Stegostoma tigrinum: one gene and its partners. The main gene of each other region encodes a partner of the protein of the gene in region 2 in a complex. Links are inferred from orthologs where the notes say so. Each region holds a gene or a part of one and is shown on either strand. Other genes may lie near its edges. The genes, in order: ppfia3, protein diaphanous homolog 1-like and profilin-2-like.

What was found.
Region 1: the proteins of protein diaphanous homolog 1-like (region 2) and ppfia3 are in contact, whole or in part, in a crystal structure (PDB 4UWX), measured with the Mus musculus proteins. The link is inferred for Stegostoma tigrinum from reciprocal best matches to the Homo sapiens genes DIAPH1 and PPFIA3. Residues at the interface, in NP_031884.1 of Mus musculus: Lys252, Ser255, Ala256, Ile259, Gln307, Asn310, Ala311, Thr314, Pro315, Ala316, Glu317, Arg322, Gln352, Cys354, Val355, Glu358, Gln359, Glu362; in NP_084017.2 of Mus musculus: Pro719, Arg720, Arg723, Leu724, Arg726, Met727, Ala728, Ala730, Leu731.
Region 3: the proteins of protein diaphanous homolog 1-like (region 2) and profilin-2-like are in contact, whole or in part, in a crystal structure (PDB 2V8F), measured with the Mus musculus proteins. The link is inferred for Stegostoma tigrinum from reciprocal best matches to the Homo sapiens genes DIAPH1 and PFN2. Residues at the interface, in NP_031884.1 of Mus musculus: Ile635, Pro636, Pro637, Pro638, Pro639, Pro640, Leu641; in NP_062283.1 of Mus musculus: Ala2, Gly3, Trp4, Ser6, Tyr7, Asn10, Ala28, Tyr30, Trp32, Arg108, Met131, Tyr134, Leu135, Ser138, Phe140.

What each region holds. Positions count from the first base shown.
Region 1 is NC_081391.1:19,530,214-19,537,239, forward strand, and holds the start of ppfia3 (liprin-alpha-3), read left to right. Parts: upstream 1-3,991; 5' UTR 3,992-4,278; intron 4,279-7,026. UniProt on the Homo sapiens protein: May regulate the disassembly of focal adhesions. May localize receptor-like tyrosine phosphatases type 2A at specific sites on the plasma membrane, possibly regulating their interaction with the extracellular environment and their association with substrates.
Region 2 is NC_081366.1:6,062,758-6,070,834, reverse strand, and holds the start of protein diaphanous homolog 1-like, read right to left. Parts: upstream 3,054-8,077; 5' UTR 2,640-3,053; coding exon 2,541-2,639; intron 1-2,540. UniProt on the Homo sapiens protein: Actin nucleation and elongation factor required for the assembly of F-actin structures, such as actin cables and stress fibers. Binds to the barbed end of the actin filament and slows down actin polymerization and depolymerization.
Region 3 is NC_081367.1:67,362,733-67,370,652, reverse strand, and holds the start of profilin-2-like, read right to left. Parts: upstream 3,045-7,920; 5' UTR 2,593-3,044; coding exon 2,461-2,592; intron 1-2,460. UniProt on the Homo sapiens protein: Binds to actin and affects the structure of the cytoskeleton. At high concentrations, profilin prevents the polymerization of actin, whereas it enhances it at low concentrations. By binding to PIP2, it inhibits the formation of IP3 and DG.

The DNA of each region.
Region 1 (7,026 bases), on a different chromosome or scaffold from region 2:
GAAAGGGGCATCGTGCAGGGACACAGGGAAAAAGCTGGGCAGTGAGTGAAATGCTCATGTGGAGAACCAGCACTGACATGATGGGCTGAACTGTGCCTCTCTGCTCTGAAATCGTTCTGTGATTTTATTTCATTTAAAAGCAGTGTGACGAGTTTTAATGAAGTAATGTGTAACAGGTAAACAGTATTTAATACTTCCGCTGGCCTGCCCTACACTACAACCACAGCAGTGATAACAGGAGGCGTTAAAGAAAGCATTTGTGGAAAACGGTTTCAGCAACAGAGGCAACGCTGATTAGAACGCAATAAACTGACCAGAATAAGCAAAAACAGGCCATCCATAAACTAGAATAAATATGGTCCATAAGTGGAAATACTCCATTTCAAACTGCCAGGTGCCTCCACAGCAAAGTGGAAATGTCCTACCCAACCCAAAGGTTGGAAGTGGGAAGAATGTGAGAGAGGAGACAACGGTACGGAGCGGACTGTGCTTCATTGTGTGTCGTAGGCTGGCCCTTCTAAGTTAAGTTGATGCTACCGAGAATCTGTGTAACCCTAACAATCATCGAGTGAGGTACAGTACAATCAAAAAGAAAACTCTACTCTCGCCGAAATAAACTAAAAAGATGCCGCAAATGATTGGCTCGGTCTGGCAAAACCAGCAAAGCTGACAGGCAGGCACGCTACTGTTTGGAACGCTGGAAGCCTTTAGTGTTATGGCGCACCTTAATATGGACGAAACCTTCACTGACCAAACATGCCTGGTGATGCCAATGCACACAAAGCTGTGGGGCAAAGGCTGGGAAGTGGGATTAGAATAGTGTGGTGGTTGTTTCTGACCAATCAGGATGCAGTGGGGCAATGTAGAGCTGTACGAATCTAAAGTGCTGAATGGGGTCCTCTTGCCCAACAACACTTCTGTGATTTTGAAGGGAGGATGCAGGCTAATGCCTGTTTGCTTATTTCTGAATGCGCATTCCCACCCTATCTTCCAAAGAAGAAAGGGGGGAGATCAGTTTGGGACACCTTGCGGGAAGGCTGAATGGCCTCTTAGCTGAAGAGAAATGTAGGTACACTGGGGGCAATTCAGAGGAGGTTTACTAGATTCCAGAGGTAAGGGGTTTGCTTTATGAAGAGAGATTGAACACTTTAGGCCTATAGTCACTAGAGTTAGCAGAATGAGAGGCGATCTAATTGAGGTGTATGAGACACCGAAGGGGATTGACAAAGCAGACGTAGAGAGAATATCTCCTCATTTGGGGCAATCTTAAACAAGTGACCCTGGTTTTAAGATAATGAGTGGCATATTTAAAACAGAGATGCAGAGGAATTACTTCTTTCAAAAGGTCACGAATCTGTGGAAATCACTGTCCCAGAGTGTGGTGGATGCCAGGACATTGAGTAAATTTAAGGAGGAAATCAACAGATTTTTAAAGATTGAAGGATCACGGAGAATGGGCAGAAAAGTGGAGTTGAGGCCGAGTTGAAATCGGTATGATTTTATTGAATGGGGGAGCAGGCTTGGAGGGCTGAATGGCCTACTTCTATTCCTGGTTGTTATGTTCTTGTGTCCTGCATCAAAACACTTCTGTGACTTTGGAGAACACGGGCCGACGACACGATGACAGCATGCAAAAGGTTTATTTTGCTGCATGCATTCCCATCCTATCTTTCAAAACAGAATTGGAGACAGCTCAGAGGAAACTGAACCTTTTCAACTCAAGCACTTTTAGGCTCTGGTGCAGACAGAGTGGGCTGAATAGCCTTCTTCTGCACAAAACACTTCTGTAATTTTCATTTTATATGGTGGAGCAGGCTCAGGGGACTGAATCGCTTATGCTACTCCTAGTTTCTATAAATACAGGCTGATGACTGCATGCGATCATAGGCTTCTTGCTTAGCATGTAGTCCCAGCCTATCCCAGTCATCCATTTTGGTAGGAATAACAGCAAAATGGACTATGTTTTAAAAGGTAAAAAACTGCAGCATACTGCTGTGCAGAGGGACTTGGGTGTCCTTGTGCATGAATCGCTGAAGGTGGGATTGCAGGTGCAGCAGGTGATTAAAAAGGCAAATGGAATTTTGTCCATCATTGCTCGAGGGATGGAGTTTAAAAACAGCTGCAGCTGTATAGGGTCCTGGTGAGGCCACTCCTGGAGTACTGAGTGCAGTTTTTGTCTCCTTACTTGAAGAGATATACTAGCACTGGAGGGGGTGCAGAGGAAATTCACTCGGTTGATTCTAGAGTTGAGAGGGTTGGATTATGAGGAGAGACTGAGTAGGCTGGGATTATACTCATTGGAATTCAGAAGAATGAGAGGAGATCTTATCGAAACATATAAGATTATGAAGGGAATAGATAAGGTGGAGGCAGGGAGGTTGTTTCTGCTAGCAGGTGAAACTAGGACTAGGGGACATCGCCTCAAAATAAGGGAAAGCAGATGTAGGACTGAGGTCAGGAGGAACTTCTTCACCCAAAGGGTTATGAATCTGTGGAATTCCCTGCCCGGTGAAGTGGTTGAAGCTACCTCGCTGAATGTTTTTAAGGCAGGGATGGATAAATTTTTGAACAGTAAAGGTTTTAAGGGTTATGGTGAGTGGGCGGGTAAATGGAGCTGAGTCTCAAAGATCATCCATGATCCTATTAAATGGCAGGCCAGGATCGAGGGCCCAGATGGTCTACTCCTGCTCCCAGTTTTTATGTTCTTCCAAAAAAACCCAGAATGATTGATTTGGGGCATGTTGCTGGAAAATGGACCTCTTAAATCTGGGCAATTTTGTTTACCTAGGTGCAGACACAAGGGCTGAATGGCCTCCATGTGCACCAAAACACTTCTGTAATTTTTGAAGTGGAGAATACGGGCTCACAAAAACCTGCAAAAGGCTTATTTCTGTATTCCCATCATAAGTTCCATAATGAAGGGGAGATTGATTTGGGACAGCTTGGAGGAACATGGACCTTTTAAAGCATTGTAGATATGATGAGCCGAATGGTCTCCATCTGCAATGAAACAATTCTGTAATTTTGGAAGGGGAAAATGCAGCATAGTTTAAGGATGGCACAGTGTCTCAGTAATTGGCCTGCTGGCTCACTGCACCAGGGACATGGGCGCAATTCAACCCTCAGGGGACTGTCTGTGTAGAGTTTGCACATTCTCCTCCATGTCTGCGTGGGTTTCCGCTGGATGCTGTGGTTTCCTCCCACAGCCCGAAGATGTGCAATTTAGATGGATTGGCTGCACTAAATTGTCCGTGGTGTCCAGGTTAGCTGCATTAGCCGTGGGAAATGCAGGGTGGGATTGGGTCTGGCGGGAGTGTTCGTCAGTGGGTTGGTGTGGACTTGTTGGGCCGAATGGCCTATTTCCACATTGGGGATGTTAATGAATAATGACTCAATGCAGGCAGATGACTGCAATGCAAAAGCCTTATTTCTCAGCATGCATTCCCATCTTAAGTTTCCTAATGAAGGGGAAAGCTTGCAGGAACCCGGACCTTTTAAAACTGAGTATCCTCTGGCTGAGTTGCAGACACAGTGGGCCGAACGGTCTCCATTTGCACCAAAAGCACTTTTCCGGTGATTTTGGAAAAGCGGAGGGGGGGAACGCAGGCTGACGACTGCAATGCAAAGGAAAAGGCTGATTGTGCAGCATGCATTCCCATCCTATCCTCCAAAAAGGATGGATTGGGAACAGCTTGCGTCCAGTCAGATCTTGCAGTGCCTTTGCATTTTGTGGGGAGTATAGTAGGGCAGTGGCTGGGAGGGAGGAAGAGGCAGAACTCAGGTTTACCGCACCTGGCCCAGCCCAGCGAGGTTTAAGCATGACATCATCCCCCAGGCAGGGTCCCGCCCTCCAGCCGCCGCCCTATTGGCCGCAAGCCTGCCCGGGCCCAGTCCCTTCCGATAGGCCGCCGCGGCTGTCACTCAGGATGATTGACATCCCGGGGCGCTCCTGCAGCTGATGAGACTGAGCTCCAAGTTGGGAGTTAAAGGTAGGCGGGCATTGCAGGGACGGATTCTGGGAACCTTATCTCCCTTTTTTTCAATGGGAAGTAGTGGATGAGTGAGGGAACCTCTCTAATTTCTATTTTTACATGGTGGGGGAAGGGGAAGGGGGGATTTAATTGCACTAGCCTGAAATTCTTCCCCCCTACACAATCTGCCCTTTTGCAGATTGCAAGGAGAAGAGATGCAGGGGTAAGGGAAGGGGAAGAAGAAAGAAGGGAGAGAGTGAAGGCTGGAAGCAGGAGAGGGCAAGAGCTGGAATCCTGGCTTGCAGATGTGAGTATATAATGCATGCCATTTGAGATTACGGACTGATAAATGGGTGCATCCCCCCCGCCACCAGCCCGTTTTTATTTTAAGGATGCTTGATATTTGGGGAGGGAGGGAGGGAGTTGGAGGTGCTTTCAAGTGAGATTTCTACAACATTGTCCCCCACATCACGATTTTTCTTGCAATTTTTTTTCTTCTTCAATTACAACATGCAGGAGTGTGGGAGGACTTGCTGAAAGGTTGAGGGTCGGTCTCTTTCGTGCGTGTTTTGATTTTTTTTAAAATTGCCATCCTCTACCACCCACCCTCCCCCATTCCCCTACCTTCCTGCTGAGAGAGCAAGAGAGACATTCACGACTCTGATTCAGGATGAAGGGTACATCGAGTGATTTGTGGGGCTGGAGATTAATTGCCTGTTCTTTTTTGGCAAAGGGAGGGTGAGAGAGAGAGCAAATTCTGTCTCTAATATGCACTTTGTGTTTGATAACTCGTCTGTGTAAAGCGGCAGATACAATCTGTACAGTTATGCGTGCATCTTTTGGAAATACAAATAGTTTAAGTTTAGAAATAGCCAGAATCTATGTAGGGCGCAGATGATCAATGATTTCGCAACCCCTTACATTTTCAACCGGATCTCTCTCTCATGTCATGATTCTGTGGGTTTTAGGTTCCTGTGGTCCGTGCACCAAAAGCAAATCTAGTCCAAAATAAAATGCACCGTTTCAGTGATTAGATAAGGGGAAAAAGAGGAGGGCATTTTATATAGATGTAAATTCTGCATTTAAAACGTGATGGTTTTTAAATACCTGCATCTGCACTGCCTTGATTGCTAACACCGCCTGTCAGAGATTTAAATCCATATATCATTGACTTCCATTACTGGCTGATCAGGATTCGACTGTGCCTTCCATAAAAAGAAAGGATGCAGTGTTTATATGTATACAAGCATACTTTTTCTTTAAAAATGAGCAACTAAAATCGTTGCTACTTTCAGAATGCACGGATCTAAATTCATCTGAAGCTAGCCTCCGTCAATGATTATTGGTGCTAATCGCGATTTGTAGCGAGCAATTCATTACCAGTAACTACACATGATTCCCTTCAATGCGCTAGGTTTATCATAACTATATTGTGCCCCAATGGTATTTGAACGGCGTCTGTGCAGTGATTAACTCGGTAGATAATTGTAATGTGTTGGTCTGCAGGCCGTAATGATGGATGCCTTTGAGAAACAATTCAGAGTGCTGTGGATATGATTTAAAAGGTGACTTAGTTCACAATGTACAGTTTACTTTTCCTTCCGCACTACTGGAGAAGAATCACCTATGTGACCCCCACCCCCTGTAGTGGAATCAGTGCAGAATGGGGCCATGTGTATTTGCATTTGTGTGTCTGACTTCTGACAGTACCACGCAAATTTGCATTCCTGTGAATAGAAGCAGCTTCATCTGTCATTTTTGTTAAAAAATGGAAACTGGAAAATGGAGTAATTGAATTTTGAGTCTAGCAAGAAGATTACTTTAAGATTTGAGTTTTTGTTTGAAACAGGGAAATCTGGGTCCTGATGGAGGTGGACAAACGCAGTGGGGTGAGGCTCTTTTCTTTTTCCAGAGCATGAACGAGTCAGGCCAAATGGCCCGTATCGGTGCTGTAAATTGTGTCACCGTTGCCTAGCACCCTTGGCTGGAAGTGTGGTGTTGTCCAGCTTGAAGGTTCCTGATGGATGTTAGCATCAGCCCTCCTGCAGTCAGTGAAACTTGGGGCAGTGTGACTGAACGTTGAGACGTTAGGGAGCAGGCTCATAGTCCCTTGAAAGTGGAGTTGCAGGGAGACGGAATGGTGAAGAAGGCGTTTGGTATGCTTTCCCTTTATTGGTCAGTGCATTGGATGTGAGAACAGAAACAACTGCCGATGCTGTACATCAGGACCAAAAACAGAAGTTGCTGGAAAAGCTCATGCTCTGGGGAAAAAAAAGAGCCTCACCCCACTGCGTTTGTCCAACTGTTAAGAAAACATCAGAATTAATGTTTCGGGCCTCCCCGGACCTGAAATGTTAACTCTCAGTTTTTTCTTCACAGATGCTGCCAGACCTGCCGAGCTTTTCCAGCAACTTCTGTTTTTGTTGGTGTTGGCATTGACATTGAGTATAAGAGTTGGGAGGTCATGTTAAGGCTACACAAGACATTAATTAGACCTCTCTTGGAATACAGTGTTACAGCGTGGTTAGCACATCAGCCTCACAGCGCCAGGGACCCAGGTTCGATTCCAGCCTCAGCTGTCTGTGTGGAGTTTGCACATTCTCCCCATGTCTGCGTGGGTTTCCTCCGGGTGCTCCGGTTTCCTCCCACAATCCAAAGATGTACAGGTTAGGTGGATTGGCCATGCTAAATTGCCCATAGCGTTCAGGGGTGTGTGGGTTATAGGGGGATGGGTCTGGGTGGGATGCTCCAAGGGGTGGTGTGGACTTGTTGGGGGAAGGGCCTGTTCCCACACTGTAGGGAATCTAATCTAATCCAATTCTAATCTAATTCTAATCCCCCGCTATAGGAAGAATGTTGTGAAACTTGAAAGGGTTCAGAAAAAAATTACAAGGGTTGCCAGGGTTGGAGCTACAAGGAGAGGCTGGATAGGCTGGGTCTATCCTCCCTGGAATGTCAGAGGCTGAGGGGTGACCGTATAGAAGCTTATAAAATCATGAGGGGCACGGATAGAGTGAATAGCCAAGGTCCATTCCCCAGGGCAGGGGAGTCCAAA
Region 2 (8,077 bases):
GCATCGAGTAAAGGAATTGAGATGTCATATTGTGGCCGCACAGGACATTGGTTAGACCACTTTTGGAATAGTACATTCACTTCTAGTCTCCCTGCTATAGGAAAGATGTTGTTAAGTTTGAAAAGGTTCAGAAAAGATTTACAAGAATATGGCTGGAGTTTGAGGGTTTGAACTCACGGGAGAAGTTGGGGCAATTTTCCCTGGAGCAGAGGCTGAAGGGTAAACTTAAGGAGGTTTATAAAATCAGAGGTCAATGGTTAGGGTGAATACATAAGCTTTTTCCCAGGGTGGGAGAGTCAAAAACTGGACAGCATAGGTTTAAGGTGAGCGGGGCAAGATTTAAAAGGGACCTAAGGGGCAACTTTTTCTTGCACGACTGGTGTACGTATCAAAATAAGCTGCCAGAGGGAGTGGAAACTGGTGCAACCACAACACCTGAAAGGCACATAGATGGGTATATGAATAAGATGGCTTTGGAGGAGCACGGACCAAATGCTGGCAAATGGGACTACATTAGTTTGAATATTTGTCAGCATGGATGGGTTGGGCCAAAGAGTCTGTTTCCGTGCTTTACAACTCTGACTCTAGAATGGCGAAATTAAGTGTTGCAAACATAGCACATACTACACTTACATAGCATCTTTCACAACACCTGAATTCCCTACAGTACTTTGAATTAAATAAACAATTTTCAAATACAGTCAACCTTTAAACAAGGGAAATACTTCCCAGGTGACCCAACTAGCTTTCCAGGTATGAAGACTTGATTTTATATCTTGCCTTAAACAGCTGAATAACAAATTTAGTCATCATCGTTGCGAAAGCAAATCTAGCCAATCTATGCACAGCAAGGACCCACGAGGAGGAATGAGGCAAATGTTCTGAGGAAGGGTCACCGGACCAGAAATGTTAACTGTTTTCTCCTCCACAGATATTGCCAGACCTGCTGAGCTTTTCCAGCAACTTTGTTTTTGTTCCTGATTTACAGCATCCGCAGTTCTTTTTGTTTTTAAACTTATTTTAGGCTTTCATGGGAAGTAGGCATTGCTGACAAGGTCAGCATTTGTTGCTCATCACTCCAAAAGTCCTTGAAAACTGTTTGTCAAAACTCAATCACATTTCTTTGGATCTTAAGCCACACGTGGACCAAAACAGGTAACTCTGGTAGAATTCCTCCTTTAAATGATAGTAGTGAATGAGCTAGATCTTTACAACAATCAATAACTTCACTGTCACTATGAATAAGACCAGCTTAAAAATTCCAGACTTTATTAATAAAGTTTAGATTCCACCAGCTGCTTTGATGGATTCAAGCTCACGTGCTCCAAATGTTTGCTTGAATCTATGTATAACTAGCTCAGCAACATTTCTCTTATGCCAGTATTATCATGTAAAGACAGTTACATTTGAGATAACTATCATGAAAGGCTATGTTTAAAAAAAGAAGAAAATTGAAGGAAGACGAGACCGGGGACTGTGGTGTGAAGGAAGTGAAAATGCAGACCCTCAGAAGCAACACGAACATTGCAGCAGAAAATTTTGTTGTAAAAATTTTCATATATACACAAGCATAACAACGTTTGGAAATCAAAACATGTGGCTAAGTAGACAACTTTGATTAAAAGACATTAACAGGAGAGCACTGATCCAAGATTTGTAGAATCCAGTGTAACAGACAGCTAGCCACATGTCTAGGTGGTGGAATGAACAACTGGCTCCCCACTACCTTTAGCATACGTCACTGCTGGAGCACCTATCTTAAACATGCAAAAACTCAAAACAGGAATGGCCTTTAGCTCCCCTTTTAAATTTGACCGGACCACATGTTTGCACTGTAGGATTGGTACTGAACAGCCATAATACAGCATTGCTAAGTTTAAAAGAACTTCGAGACTTTATTTGTGCAGTTCAAATTCTGTTCCACTCAACATATACAATGCTGAACAAAAATAATTCTCGCTTGCTGATTTGAATTCAGTGCAGTGACCAACGGAAATCTGAGTACGAACGTGCTAAACAAGTTTTAAACTTTGGCGTGACCCAATGACTATGGACGAGAGAGAGTCAGTGTGCTCGGCAACATGACAGGTTGAGCAGAAATGTGTCAATAGCGAAAAAAAAGACTTTCCTTTTGCAAGTGGGAAGTAGTGCCTTCTGCACGCCCATATAGACACATATTATCAACTCAATACTCCCAATAACCTTCCTTCTCGTGAAAAGTGGGGGCAGCCAGAGCGCCAAAAGGACGGCTGCGCCGAACCACCGACACTGCCTCGACAGTGTTCGTGATGAAATCAAGAAAAAGAAATACACAACTGGGGAGAAAATATATAGAGGCAGCGCCTATTTCAGCTCAGGGGTTGTTCTTTGGGACGCCTCTGTGCCCCTTTGAGAGATGGGGGCCTTCAGAGTACCTGCACAGGCAGGTAAGGGCGCTGCTCTCACAACTGTGGTCTTCAGACAAAGGTGAAACCTTCCACACTTTCACAGCTATCCCCCCAAATTAGAAAATAATTCTAAAGGCAAACATAAGAACTCACAAATTTGGTTTTCTTTTCTCCTTCCTCCAGGCTTTTCTTCATTTTACCGGACTTTTCCTTCCCCCTAGAAGGACCTGAAGCCTCATTCCTTCCCTCCATGGTTTTACTTATTTATTGCTCCCGTGGTAAACTTATTTTCTCCTGAAACCTTTCAGTCTCTAATCTCTTGGATCAACGTATCTCATTCGGCTGCTCTTTCAATGCGGAGGGGTGTAGTGGACTGTTCCTGTCCTTCTCTTTCGAAACCCCTCCCACTCTTGCCAAGCGCTGTGAACGGCTGACGGCCAGAGCCCGGGGCCTAGGCGCGGGCTGCCGGCTGCGATTCCTACTCGAGCCCGCTCAGCGGGGAGGGGTGGAGGGTGTGGTGTTGTAAGTCCCTCCCCTCGCCTCACGGTACTTCTTTTTGCCAAAATGGTAATGACATGCCGTTTCCTTCCAGAAAGTGGGCAGAGAGAACAAACGAAGTTAAAATATTCTGTATAAATTGTTGCAGATGGTTGTGTGTGAGAGACCGGGCAGCGTCTGCCCTTGGAGCCACGCTGCTCCCTCAGCGAGCGCCAGCTCGCGGGAGGGGGCGGGGTCGAGGTGGGGGCACAGGGGAGAAAGGCAATGCTGCACTCCTGCGGCAGGCACTGACACAGTATGAAACACAGCCCCTCAACGCCAGGGATAACAAAGTGTACAGCTGGATGAACACAGCAGGCCTGAATTTTTTTCTGAAGAAGGGTCTAGGCTCGAAACGTCAGCCTTCCTGCTCCTTTGATGCTGCTTGGCCTGCTGTGTTCATCCAGCTTTGTTACCACATAGCTTGCCATTACACACCTCCTGTTGTTGGTCACTAACAATCCCCGTTAACAATTATTCACTCTCCCAGCCTGATCGTTAGTAACTCTGTTGTCTGTCCAAGTGTCTTTCTCTCTCTTCTATCCTATCGTTTACTCCCTACCCCACCCACCTCGCGAATTTCTGCATGTAAACTGATGATTTCCCAGCCACCATCAGTTCTGAGGAAGGGTCACTGGACCTGAAACACTAACTCTGTTTTCTTCTTCACAGATGCTTCCAGACCTGCTGAGCTTTCCCAGCAACTTTGTTTTTGTTCCTGATTTACAGCATCTGCAGTTCTTTTGGTTTTTATAAAACAAATACATTTGGTCTCAGGTTAAAAATCTTAACACTTCAAGGAGTCAAAGGACAATAAAACTGCATAACCTTGTCTGTATCAGATGCTTTCTCTTTTAAAGTTATGTCATGCTGTATGTATTTGATGTGCTTTTATTATATTTTTAATTTCAAAATGTCTTTTTTTCTTACATTCAAGTAAACATTGTAATTGGCTTCTTCATTTTGATCGATGTAATCGCATTTTAAATGACACTTCATATAGCTGTGTGGCGGCATGATGGCTCAGTGGTTAACACTGCAGTCTCACAGCACCAGGGACCCAGGTTCAATTCCAGCCTCGGGTAACTGTCTGTGTGGAGTTTGCACCTTCTCCCCGTGTGCGTGGGTTTCCTCTGGGTGCTCCGGCTTTCTTCCACAGTACAAAGATGTGCAGGCTAGATGGATCAGCCATGCTAAATTGCCCGTAGTGTTTAGGGGTGTATGGGTTATAGGGGGATGGGTCTGGGTGGGATGCTTCAAGGGGAGGTGTGGACTTGTTGGGCCGAAGGGCCTGTTTCCACACCGTAGGGAATCTAAAAAACTTTTAAAAATTTTTTTGAAATTGATAGAGAGAAAGTTAAAAAGGAGATAGTGGGAACTGCAGATGCTGGAGAATCCAAGATAATAAAGTGTGAAGCAGGATGAACACAGCAGGCCAAGCAGCATCTCAGGAGCACAAAAGCTGACGTTTCGGGCCTAGACCCTTCATCAGAGAGGAGGATGGGGTGAGGGTTCTGGAATAAATAGGGAGAGAGGGGGAGGCGGACCGAAGATGGAGAGAAAAGAAGATAGGTGGAGAAGAGAGTATAGGTAGGGAGGGGATAGGTCAGTCCAGGGAAGACGGACAGGTCAAGGAGGTGGGATGTGGTTAGTAGGTAGGAAATGGAGTTGCGGCTTGGGGTGCAAGGAAGGGATGCGTGAGAGGAAGAACAGATTAGGGAGGCAGAGACAGGCTGGGCTGGTTTTGGGATGCAGTGGGAGAAGGGGAAGAGCTGGGCTGGTTGTGTGATGCAGTGGGGGGAGGGGACGAACTGGGCTGGTTTTGGGATGTGGTGGGGGAAGGGGAGATTTTGAGCCTGGTGAAGTATACATTGATACCATTAGGGCTGCAGTGTTCCCAAGCGGAATATGAGTTGCTGTTCCTGCAAACTTCGGGTGGCATCATTGTGGCACTGCAGGAGGCCCATGATGGACATGTCATGTAAAGAATGGGAGGGGGAGTTAAAATGGTTCGTGACTGGGAGGTGCAGTTGTTTATTGCGAACCAAGCGGAGGTGCTCTGCAAAGCGGTCCCCAAGTCTCCGCTTGGTTTCCCCAATGTAGAGGAAGCCACACCGGGTACAATGGATACAGTATACCACATTGGCAGATGTGCAGGTGAACCTCTGCTTAATATGGAAAGTCATCTTGGGGCCTGGGATAGGGGTGAGGGAGGAGGTGTGGGGGCAAGTGTAGCATTTCCTGTGGTTGCAGGGGAAGGTGCCGTGTGTAGTGGGGTTGGAGGGCAGTGTGGACTGAACAAGGGAGTCATGGAGAAAGTGGTCTCTCCGGAAAGCAGACAAGGGTGGGGATGGAAAAATGTCTTGGGTGGTGGTGTTGGATTGTAGATGGCGGAAGTGTCGGAGGATGATGCGTTGTATCCCGAGGTTGGTGGGGTGGTGTGTGAGAACGAGGGGGATCCTCTTTGGGCAGTTGTGGCATGAGGGATGTGTTGCGGGAGACGCAGTCAAGGGCGTTCTCGACCACTGCGGTGGAGGAAGTTGCGGTCCTTGAAGAACTTGGACATCTGGGATGTGCGGGAGTGGAATGCCTCATCGTGGGAGCAGATGCGGCGGAGGCGGAGGAATTGGGAATAGGGGATAGAATTTTTGCAGGAGGGTGGGTGGGAGGGAGGAGGTGTATTCTAGGTAGCTGTGGGAGTCGGTGGGCTTGAAATGGACATCAGTTACAAGCTGGTTGCCTGAGATGGAGGCTGAGAGGTCCAGGAAGGTGAGGGATGTGCTGGAGATGGCCCAGGTGAACTGAAGGTTGGGGTGGAAGGTGTTGGTGAAGTGGATGAACTGTTCGAGCTCCTCTGGGGAGCCAGAGGCGGCGCCGATACAGTCATCAATGTAACGGAGGAAGAGGTGGGGTTTGGGGCCTGTGTAGGTGCGGAAGAGGGACTGTTCCACGTAACCTACAAAGAGGCAGGCATAGCTGGGGCCCATGCAGGTGCCCGTGGCCACCCCCTTTGTAGGATGTGGGAGGAATCGAAAGAGAAGTTGCTGCTTTACTCTTCCTCTCTTGGTTGTAACAGTAAGTAAATCTTTCTTTCAAAGCAAAAGCAACATGCAGCAGATGGTTTTCAGCCTGGTACTCTCAAGCTCTGTGTAATAGTTCTGCAGCTTATGATTTTCAAATTCTTTGCAATCGGTTTTTCTAGTAAAAGCTTGCAGCTCTACTTGCATTACTCCTTGCCTTTTAGCCTTCCTCTTTTAAACTCTCCATCATTTCTTACAGCTTATCATTGGCGTCCAGTCATTCAATGATACAGTGTTGGGCTAAATATGCGCTTCGCCAATTTGCTGTCTGAGCTCAATACTGTCATTCTTTACTTTGTCAAGTGCTTCTATTTGAAAAATGTGCCATTGAAGTTTTGCCTTGAAGTTTCAGGATCTCCCTCTCGAATGTCTTGTCTGTTGGCTGTACAGCTTGCAGATTCACTTCCATATCCTGTTTTTCAGATTGCAACATTATATCGTGCTAGGCCTTCGAGCTTTCTGGGGTGGCAACTTTATTCTCTCGTTTTAGCTTTTCACCCTTTAAAGTATTTCCATTTCATTTTGAAAGTTTATGGAAAACTTCTTATATAAATAGCAGATAAATTCTAAACCAACTCTTTCCTTTTCAGTCCTGGAGTATCTTTTCATATTGGCCTTGAACAGTTAAATATCTATCAGCAACCTACTCACTTGGTTTTGAATGAATCACAGTTTTTTGCTTAGATTAATATTTATGTGAATCAAAACCTTTTCAAAAAGCAACCACCTCATCAAAGAAGCATCACATTTAAGAGACATCTGAATGAGTACTTAAAACGTCAGGGCATATTAGGCTATGGACCAAATGCAGGTAAATAGGATTTGTATAATTTGTTGGTCTGTATACACATGGTGGGCCGAAGGGCCTGCCACTATGTTCCGTGACTCTATGACTCAAAATTCTCCCTGATTCATTTGTGCTACTTCTTTAGGAGGGTGCTCTTCAAAGGATATGCTACCTTAGTTCAGTTGGTTGTAGAGCTGGTTTGCGATGCAAACTGATGGCAGTGGCATGTGCTCAATTTCTGCACCAATTGACATTACTGTGAAGGACTCTCCTTCTCAACATCTCGACTGAAGTGTGGTGACCCTCAGGTTAAATAACTTCTGACCGTCTCTGTCATGCGCCTTTTCACTCTGCAAATTTCTCTTTTAAGTAGCTCATGCACTTTTTGTGCTCCTCTAGGGCTGTTTTGAGCCCTTGATATCCACTTAAATCTTCCCTTTCTCTTTATCCAGCACTGAAAAATTCACTGATATCCAGGGATCTCTGGAATATTTGGCCCCGCTATTCACTTTACAGGAACACGTAGGTCCCACACTTTCAACGTTTCCTCATTTCCCTTGGCGCTGATGTAAATTTTTCAATACATAGCCATTTCCGGTTCACATTGGGCCATTCATAGAACATAGAACATAGAACAGTACAGCACAGAAGAGGCACTTCAGCGCACGATGTTGTGCCGACCATTGATCCTCATGTATGCACCCTCAAATTTCTGTGACCATATACATGTCCAGCAGTCTCTTAAATGTCCCCAATGACCTTGCTTCCACAACTGCTGCTGGCAACGCATTCCATGTTCTCACAACTCTCTGTGTAAAGAACCCGCCTCTGACATCCCCTCTATACTTTCCTCCAATCAGCTTAAAACTATGACCCCTCGTGTTAGCCATTTCTGCAATGGGAAATAGTCTCTGGCTATCAACTCTATCTATGACTCTCATTATCTTGTACACCTCTCCACTTCCACCTCTCCCTCTCCTCCTCCTTTTCTCCAATGAAAAAAGTCCGAGCTCAGTCAACCTCTCTTCATAAGATAAGCCCTCCAGTCCAGGCAGCATCCTGGTAAACCTCCACTGAACCCTCTCCAAAGCATCCACATCTTTTCGATAATAGGGCGACTAGAACTTGACGCAGTATTCCAAGTGCGGTCTAACCAAAGTTTTATAGAGCTGCAACATGATCTCACGACTCTTAAACTCAATCCCCCTGTTAATGAAAGCCAAAACACCATATGCTTTCTTAACAACCCTGTCCACTTGGGTGGCCATTTTAAGGGATCTATGTAT
Region 3 (7,920 bases), on a different chromosome or scaffold from region 2:
AAGACAAGTAACTCTTGTGGCTGAAAACTTAAAAGCAAACAAACGACATAGTGACACACCCCCTTGGGAGCTTATCTCGAGTGATACTTGAATATAGTCCAATTCCAGAAGTTTGTCATATTGCATTCTGAGTAATTTGCTTCTAAATAACCTCACGTTAGTTTACCAGACGTATACCAGCAAAGTCAAGGGCAGTAGTACACTTGGCTGAACTAAGGGAAACTCAACAGCCCAAAAACATTCCAAATGCTCCTCCTGCAAGTACAAAATGTTTAAATCAATTTACGCTTAAATCATTCCAAATACGGTGAAGACTAAGGGATCCTTACACTGCTCATAGATGGGCAGGTCTCAATGAGCCTGATTATTACAGGTTTAAAGGTCATTTGAAACAAATCCTTCCAAATATTAAAATAATGAGTTGGGCCAGTTGAAGTTCCTATGCATTTTGACAAAAAAAATTAAGCTTAAAAACATCTGCCCATTTCAGCATAATGTTTTTTTAAAAGGGGAAAAAAGTAGCTGATGTCCGCTCTGACATGGAAAACTGCGCCCTCCCACCACATCTGAGCTGAACTGCACAGTCATGCCTTGCAGGCCGGGGCGGGGGGGGGGGGGGGGGGGGGGGGGGGGGGGGCGGGGGGAAGAGAAGAGAAATCAGAACAAAACGCTCATACACAAAAAACCACAACAGGAAGGAAGAAAAAAGCTAATAATTCAGCAATATGAGAACCCTAACCCTGTGAACCACAAACACCAGAAAGCACAATTCCTAGACAGTTTCACTAACAGTAATTTCTTGCCTACAAGATGGGAACTTGGCAAAAAGAAAAGATCAGGTTCAAATGGGCCTCATCTTTACATACTTCAATTTGATTTAAAAAGCAATGTAAATAAGTCTTAGGGTGTTAAGGAGTTACAAACAAGATTACTTTCTACAAATGATGCTGCAACACACAGACTCTGCCAAATCCCCCACCATAAGAGTACAATTTCATAAGTTCACCATGAAGCACATTAGGTTCTCCTATTTAAAGAGAAAACCTTTACCTTTGCCTGATCTTTCTGCAGTATTAAGTCCACATGAAAAAGGGAGAATTAACATATTTCCCTTTAAAAAGTGCAGTGATTCTTAAGCTGTAGACAGACAGAAGCACTGCTCCTCATTTCATGATGAAAACCCTGAATGTGAACGATTAGGAAAGATATATTTGAAACTGGCAATCTCCATCGTTATGCACAGAGGACGACGAGGCTGGCCACACAGCAAGTTTTCTAGAATTTTCTACCAGAATCAGCAATCTGCCTTTACACTGGGAAAAAATATCAAAACCAAATAGGAAATTAAAAATAAAAACGATTTCAAACATGTACTTTTGATTTAAATCACAAGGATTTTAAAAAATTATATTATTAGATGCAAAAACAAAAAGGAAGCACATAATTAAAAACCATTTCCCAAACGTGATTAGTTAACCCTTTGGTAAGACAGCCAACTGTCTCAAAAGTACATCAAGGAGGTTTATAATTAGGAGGTAGAAGGACAATTTTAAACAACATCTTCCCCTTCCCCTTCCCCATGCAAATACCCTTCCCCAAGCCTTCCCTCAGTCTTTGAGGAGACAGTTCAGTGTTCTCTCGTCCCCACACCCCACCCCTCTTTACCAGTGATCATAGCATCAAAACTGGGGGGGGGGGGGGGAAAGAAGAGAGAGAAAGGAGGAGGGAACAAGGGACACACACACACACACATACACGGGAGGTGGGGGGGGGGCTGATAAAAAAATGTGGGGGGAAACACAAGGAGGATGGAAAAAAAGAGGGGGATAACAGACAGAAAATCGGGTAGAAAAAAGGAGGGGGAAAAGAAGGGGGTGGGAGTGGGGGCTGGGGTCGGATGGGGGGGGGGGGTGGAATGAGAAGATGGAGACGGCGCCATTTTATAACCGCACACACCGGTGCAATTAATGGTCAGGGCCTGGGCAATAAGTGGCTTCCTTTAAAAAACAGAGTTAATAATAAAAACCACCCCCATTTCGAATGGGGGGGGGAAGCAAAAAGAGGCGGGGGGAGAAAAGGAGGGGTGAAGAAACTTGATGCCTCCTTGTCCCCGGCAAACATTTTCAAAAATACTGTATATCGAAAAACAAAAAGATGGGGGGAGAGGGGACACGATTTTGTATTTTCCCCTAATGATGCCTGTTTATGTTATTTTTTTAAAAAGGGGAGAGAGAGTAAGAGATCGATCGTTGGTTTAACTCCGTTTTATTCCCCGATTAGAGGGCAAAACGTTTCGTTAGGCATTCGCTTCCCACCCCCCACAACAACCAACCACCGCCACTAACCCCTACCTAATTTTTAATGTTAATAATTTACACGGTTTCGTTCAAATCTTAACCACCAAACACTCCCCTCTCCCCACCCCCCCAGAGCCCCCCCACAACCCCTCCCTTCCCTTACCGTTACAACCGAGAAGGTGCCTCCGGGAGCCGCTGCCCAGACGTACTTGGCGTCCGTGTAGCCGACGACGGCCGAGTCCTGGCAGTTTCCATCGGCCATCAGGTTTTCCACATAACAGTGCCAGCCGGACATGGTCTAACTACAGTTATCCCCCTCACTCAACAAACAAAAAAAAAGGGAGAAAATAAAATAAGAAACAAAAAAGGGGGAAGAAAAATAAAAGAGGGCGGGAGAAAAAGAGGTAACCAGCCCAAAAAAAATTAAACGAGAGAAAACTCCCAGCTCACGGATGGCGTGTGAAGAGAAAGGGGAGGGGGGGCGAAATAAAAAAAATGGCTCTCTTCAAGAAAGAGGGGCAACTCCGAAAGAAAAATAAAGGGAGAAAAGTCGATTTATTTTACGTTTTCCCCTCACGCTCCCTTGTTTTGTTCTGTCAAAAATCTATGCAAACTTTTTTTTTCCCCCCCTTTCTCCCGTTTTTTTCCCCCCTCCCTCTCTCGCTTTTCTTTCTTCTACCTGCGCTCACACACTCTCTCTCTCTCTGGGCTGAGGCGCCGGCTGAGCTCTCCGTTATAATGAGGCGGAGCGGGAGCGAGGAAATCAGGACGCGGAGCGCGCTCCTCTCCGCCCCCCCCCCCCCCCGCCCCCATCCACGGCCGTTGCCTGCCGCGCGTGCGTCCTGATTTCCTCGCTCCCGCCGAACCCGGTCCGTCCGGGGCGCGCGCGCGCGGGCGGCAGCCGGCTCAGCCGCACTGTTGTCCCCGCCCCGTCCCAGGGAGGATAGGTGCCATGGGTGCGGGCCGAATGGTTACAAAGGGAGACACACTCAGAGCAAGTAATCCTCCAGATTAACTCCATTCAAAAATACAGGAGTGATTAGCTACGCTAGACTTTGAGAACATGAGGGGATCATTAAGAATGTAATGATGACTAAAGATACTGCCAATTGTCAGGAAAAACCCAACTGGTTTCCTGGTTCATTTTTTTTTCTGAAGAATGATCCAGACTCGAAACGTCAGCCTTCCTACTCCTCTGTTGCTGCCTTGCCAGCTATGTTCGTCCAGCTCTACACCTTGTCAGAGATAATGGGAACTGCAGATGCTGGAGAATTCCAAGATAATAAAATGTGAAGCTGGATGAACTGATTGAAGGGTCTAGGCCCGAAACGTCAGCTTTTGTGCTCCTGAGATGCTGCTTGGCCTGCTGTGTTCATCCAGCTTCACACTTTGTTATCTACACCTTGTTATCCTCAGATTCTCCAGCATCAGCAGTTCCTACTGTCTCTGATTCACTAATGCCTTTATTGCCATCTTTACCTAGTCTGGCTTACATGTGACTTCAGACCCACAACAGTGTGGTTGACTCTTAAGGATGGGCAATCAATGCTGCCTAGCCAGTGACACCCTCATCGCATGAATGAATAAAGGACTCATGTCAATTGCCAACAGATGTTTTCTAATCATCTAGTTCGGGGTTCTGAAGAAGGGTCACTGGAATCGAAATGCTAACTCTGCTTTCTCTCTGTATTCAGGCTGCCAGACCTGCTGGGTTTCTCCGGCAATTCTGTTTTTATCTCAGATCTTCAGCCTTCCCCATTTGTCAACAGGGGATCTGACAGAGCTAGGTAAGACTGTGAGGTTCTTAGTGTGAACCAAAAGTTGCTGATTTCCTTAGTCAAAGGGTCAGTAACAAGGGGCAATCACTTTAAAGTGAAAGGCAGGAAGCTCTGAGGGAATTTGAGGAAAATCGTTTTCGCCAAGAAGTTGGTGGAGGTCTTGAATGAATTGCCTGGAAGGGCAGTAATCTCACAACTTTTAATAAGTGCTTGAAAGAACACTTGAATTGTCATCACATTCAAAGCTATGAGTCTAGACTGGGAAAGTGTTTGTTTATTCATTTGTGGGATTTGAGCATTCCTGGCTGGCCTGCATTTGTTCCCCATATCTCGTTGCCCTTGAGAAGGTGGTGGTGAGCTGCCCTCTGAACTGCTGTAGCCAGCATGCCCACAAAGCCCTGAGGGAAGAAATTCCAGGATTTTGACCCAGCAACACTGATAGAACAGCGATATATGTCCAAATCTGGATGATGAGTGGTTTGGAGAGGAACTTGCAAGTGATGCTGTTTCAATATATCAGCTGTACTTTTCCTTCTGGATAGAATTGTTTGTGGTTTCGGAAGGCGCAGTCTGAGGATCTCTGGCAATTTCAACAGTGCATCTTATACACACTGCTGCTCCTGAGCGTCAATGGTGGAAGGTATGGATGCTTGAGGATGTGGTGCCAATTCAGTGGGTTGCATTGTCCTGGCTGGTGTCAACCTTCTTGAGGAACAAAATCAGAAATTGCTGGAAAAGCTCAGCAGGTCTGGCAGCATCTGTGAAGAAAAAAATCAGAGTTAACGTTTTGGGTCCGATGACCCTTCCTTAGTTCACTAAGTTTTTTCTACACTGACACTGTTGAGCTTTTCCAGCAACTTCTGTTGCCAGACCTGCTGAGCTTTTCCAGCATCTGCAGTTCTTTCAGTTTTTATCAAGCTTCTTGAATGTTGTTGGACCTGCACCCATCCAGGTAAATGGGGAGTATTCCATCACACTTCTTATTTACCATTTTGTAAATGGTACAGAGGCTCTTGGCAATCAGGAGGTGAGTTACTCACCACAGTATTCCTAGCTTCTGTCTTGATCCTGTAGCCACTGTATAATATGACAAGTCCATTTGAGTTTCTGGCCAATGGTAACCCCAGGATGTTGATGGTGGGGGATCCAGTGGTGGTAGCACCATTGAATGTGAAGTGCCAGTGGTTAGATTGGCTTTTATTGGAGATGGTCATTGCCTGGGCGTGGCATTTGTGAGGCATAAATGTTCGTTGCCACTTGACACTCCAAGCCTGGAAATTGTCCAAACCTTATTGTAATTGAACATAGACTGTTTCAGCATCTGAAGAGTCGTGAATGTGATCAGTGAACGTCCGTACTTCTGACTTTACAATGGAGTGAAAGCAGTGTACGTTTGGTGATATAGACTCAATGAGCTGAATGGCTTTTTCTGTACTGCGTGATTCTATGTAATGACACGTCTGGCATGGTAGGACTTGAATTCGGTCTCCCAGTTCGGAGTTAGGGACACAACCACTGACCCACAACAGCCCCCTGAGAATCGGAATTAAGATTGAATTAGAAACAGGACTCAGACCTTCAAGCCTGCTCTGCCATTCAGTTGGATTTTGGTTGATCTGAATGCTGCATATTCTTGCCTTCCTGCTACCCCATCATCCCTTTTATCACCTTGCTCAACAATAATCTATATACCTTACCTTAAAAATATGCAAAAACTGCCTTCCAAGGAAGAGAGTTCCAAAGATTTGGGATCATCTGATATCACTGACTTAAATGGGCAACCACTTTTTTTTTAACAGTGACCCACCTCCAACTTTGTTCAAGAGTCTCCCACAAGAGGAAAATCCTTTCCGCGTGCGCCCTATCAAGACTTCCTCAAGATCTAATGTGTTTCAAGAGGAATGAAAGACCAATTCATGTCAATCTTACCAACACATCTCATTGATACTAAATTCTCAATAATAGCTGGCTAACAAGAAATTATTTCTGCTCACAGTGCCCCCACCCCATCATCATAAGACCATAAGAAATAGCAATAGGAGTAGGCCGTTCAATCCCTTGAACTTGCTCCACGATTCAATAGAATCATGGCTGATTTGACATTCCTCAGCTCTACTTTCCTGCCTTCCCCTCCCCCCCATAACCTTTGATTCCCCTACTGATCAAGAATCTATCTTAGCCTTAAATATACAATGATTCTGCCCCCACAGGTCTCTGTGGTAAGGGTTTCCAAAGACATGCAATGGTCCTCATCTCAGTCTTAAATTGGTGCCCATTTCTCCCAAAACTGTTCCTGTCATCCTAGACTCTCTCATGAGGGGAACCTCCTCTCAACACTTACCCTGCGAACCACAAATGAATCCTATGCCTCTCAATGAGATACCTCATTCTTCTAAACTCCATTGAGTACTGTCCCAACCTGTTTAGCTTTTGCCCAACAGACAATCCCTCCAAGATAACAAAGTGTGAAGCTGGATGAACACAGGAGGCCAAGCAGCATCTCAGGAGCACAAAGCTGAGGTTTCAGGCCTAGATCCTTCATCAGAGAGGGGAATGGGGAGAGGGTTCTGAAATAAATAGGGAGAGAGGGGGAGGCGGACCGAAGATGGATTTAGGAGAAGATAGGTGGAGAGGAGAGTGTGGGTTGGGAGGTGGGGACGGGGTAGATCAGTCCAGGGAGGATGGATGGGTCAAGGAGGCGGGATGAGGTTGGTAGGTGAGAAATGGAGGTGCGGCTTGAGGTGGGAGGAGGGGATAGGTGAGAGGAAGAACAGGTTAGGGAGGCGGGGACAAGCTGGGCTGATTTTGTGATGCAGTGGGGGGAGGGGACAATCCCTCCATATCATTCTGAAGATGTGTCACTGGATCCGAAATGTTATCTCTGATTTCTCTCCATTGATGCTGAGACCTGCTGAGTTTTTCCAGCATTTTCTGTTTTAGTATCATCCTCGTGAACCTTTTCTGAACTGCTTCTAAGGAAATGATGTATTTTCAGAAATTATGGGACCAAAACTGTACAGTACTTCAGATGTGGTCTCACTGGCATCTTGTACAGTTACAGTAAGCCTTCCTTACTCTTATACTCCAAACACACTGAAATAAGCCACCCTGATTACCTGCAGCAATTGTGTGCTTGATTTCTGTGTTACATGCACAAGGACCCTGAACTATGGAATCTAGAACTGTGGCTCCCATTCTCCAAATCAGGTGTCAGTTAGCAAAGGACTAAGATGAGAAACAATTTCCTTTGAATCTTTGGTAATCTCTCGGCTGTGGAGGTAAAAGTCTGCCATGATCTTATTGAATGACAGAACAGGATCAAAGGGCTGAATGGCCTACTCTTGTTTTTGTTTTTTCTTATGTTCTTATTTTGCAGTAATCTTGAGCAAATGGCTTATTGTCATAAGCAGACCACATTAAAGAACATAGAAATGGTATCTAATCTTTTATCTTCTGCAGGCTTTTTATCATATCTACCGAGGGGGATTGGGAGTGGGAACTAGCTAGCCCCATTGACCAGATTGATCACATGAGCACAGGATTCGCTCAATATTCTGGTTAAGATAAACTTAAGGTCTCCATCATCACATAACCTACAATTAAAAACCACAGGACTTTGTTGTGGCTAAGTGACTTTGCCTTCAGGCAAAGTGGGGAATTCACTAGTATATATTACATCTGATAGCAATTGCATACATAAATGAATTGTTTAGAAACATTTGTAGAGGCAAGCTCTTTCATGTCCATTTGTTACAGGAAACTATTCTAGATATTGACACATCAAAAATACCCAACTAAAAAATGTTCCTATTGTTGATTATAAAATTAGCTCTATTTCTGTGTAT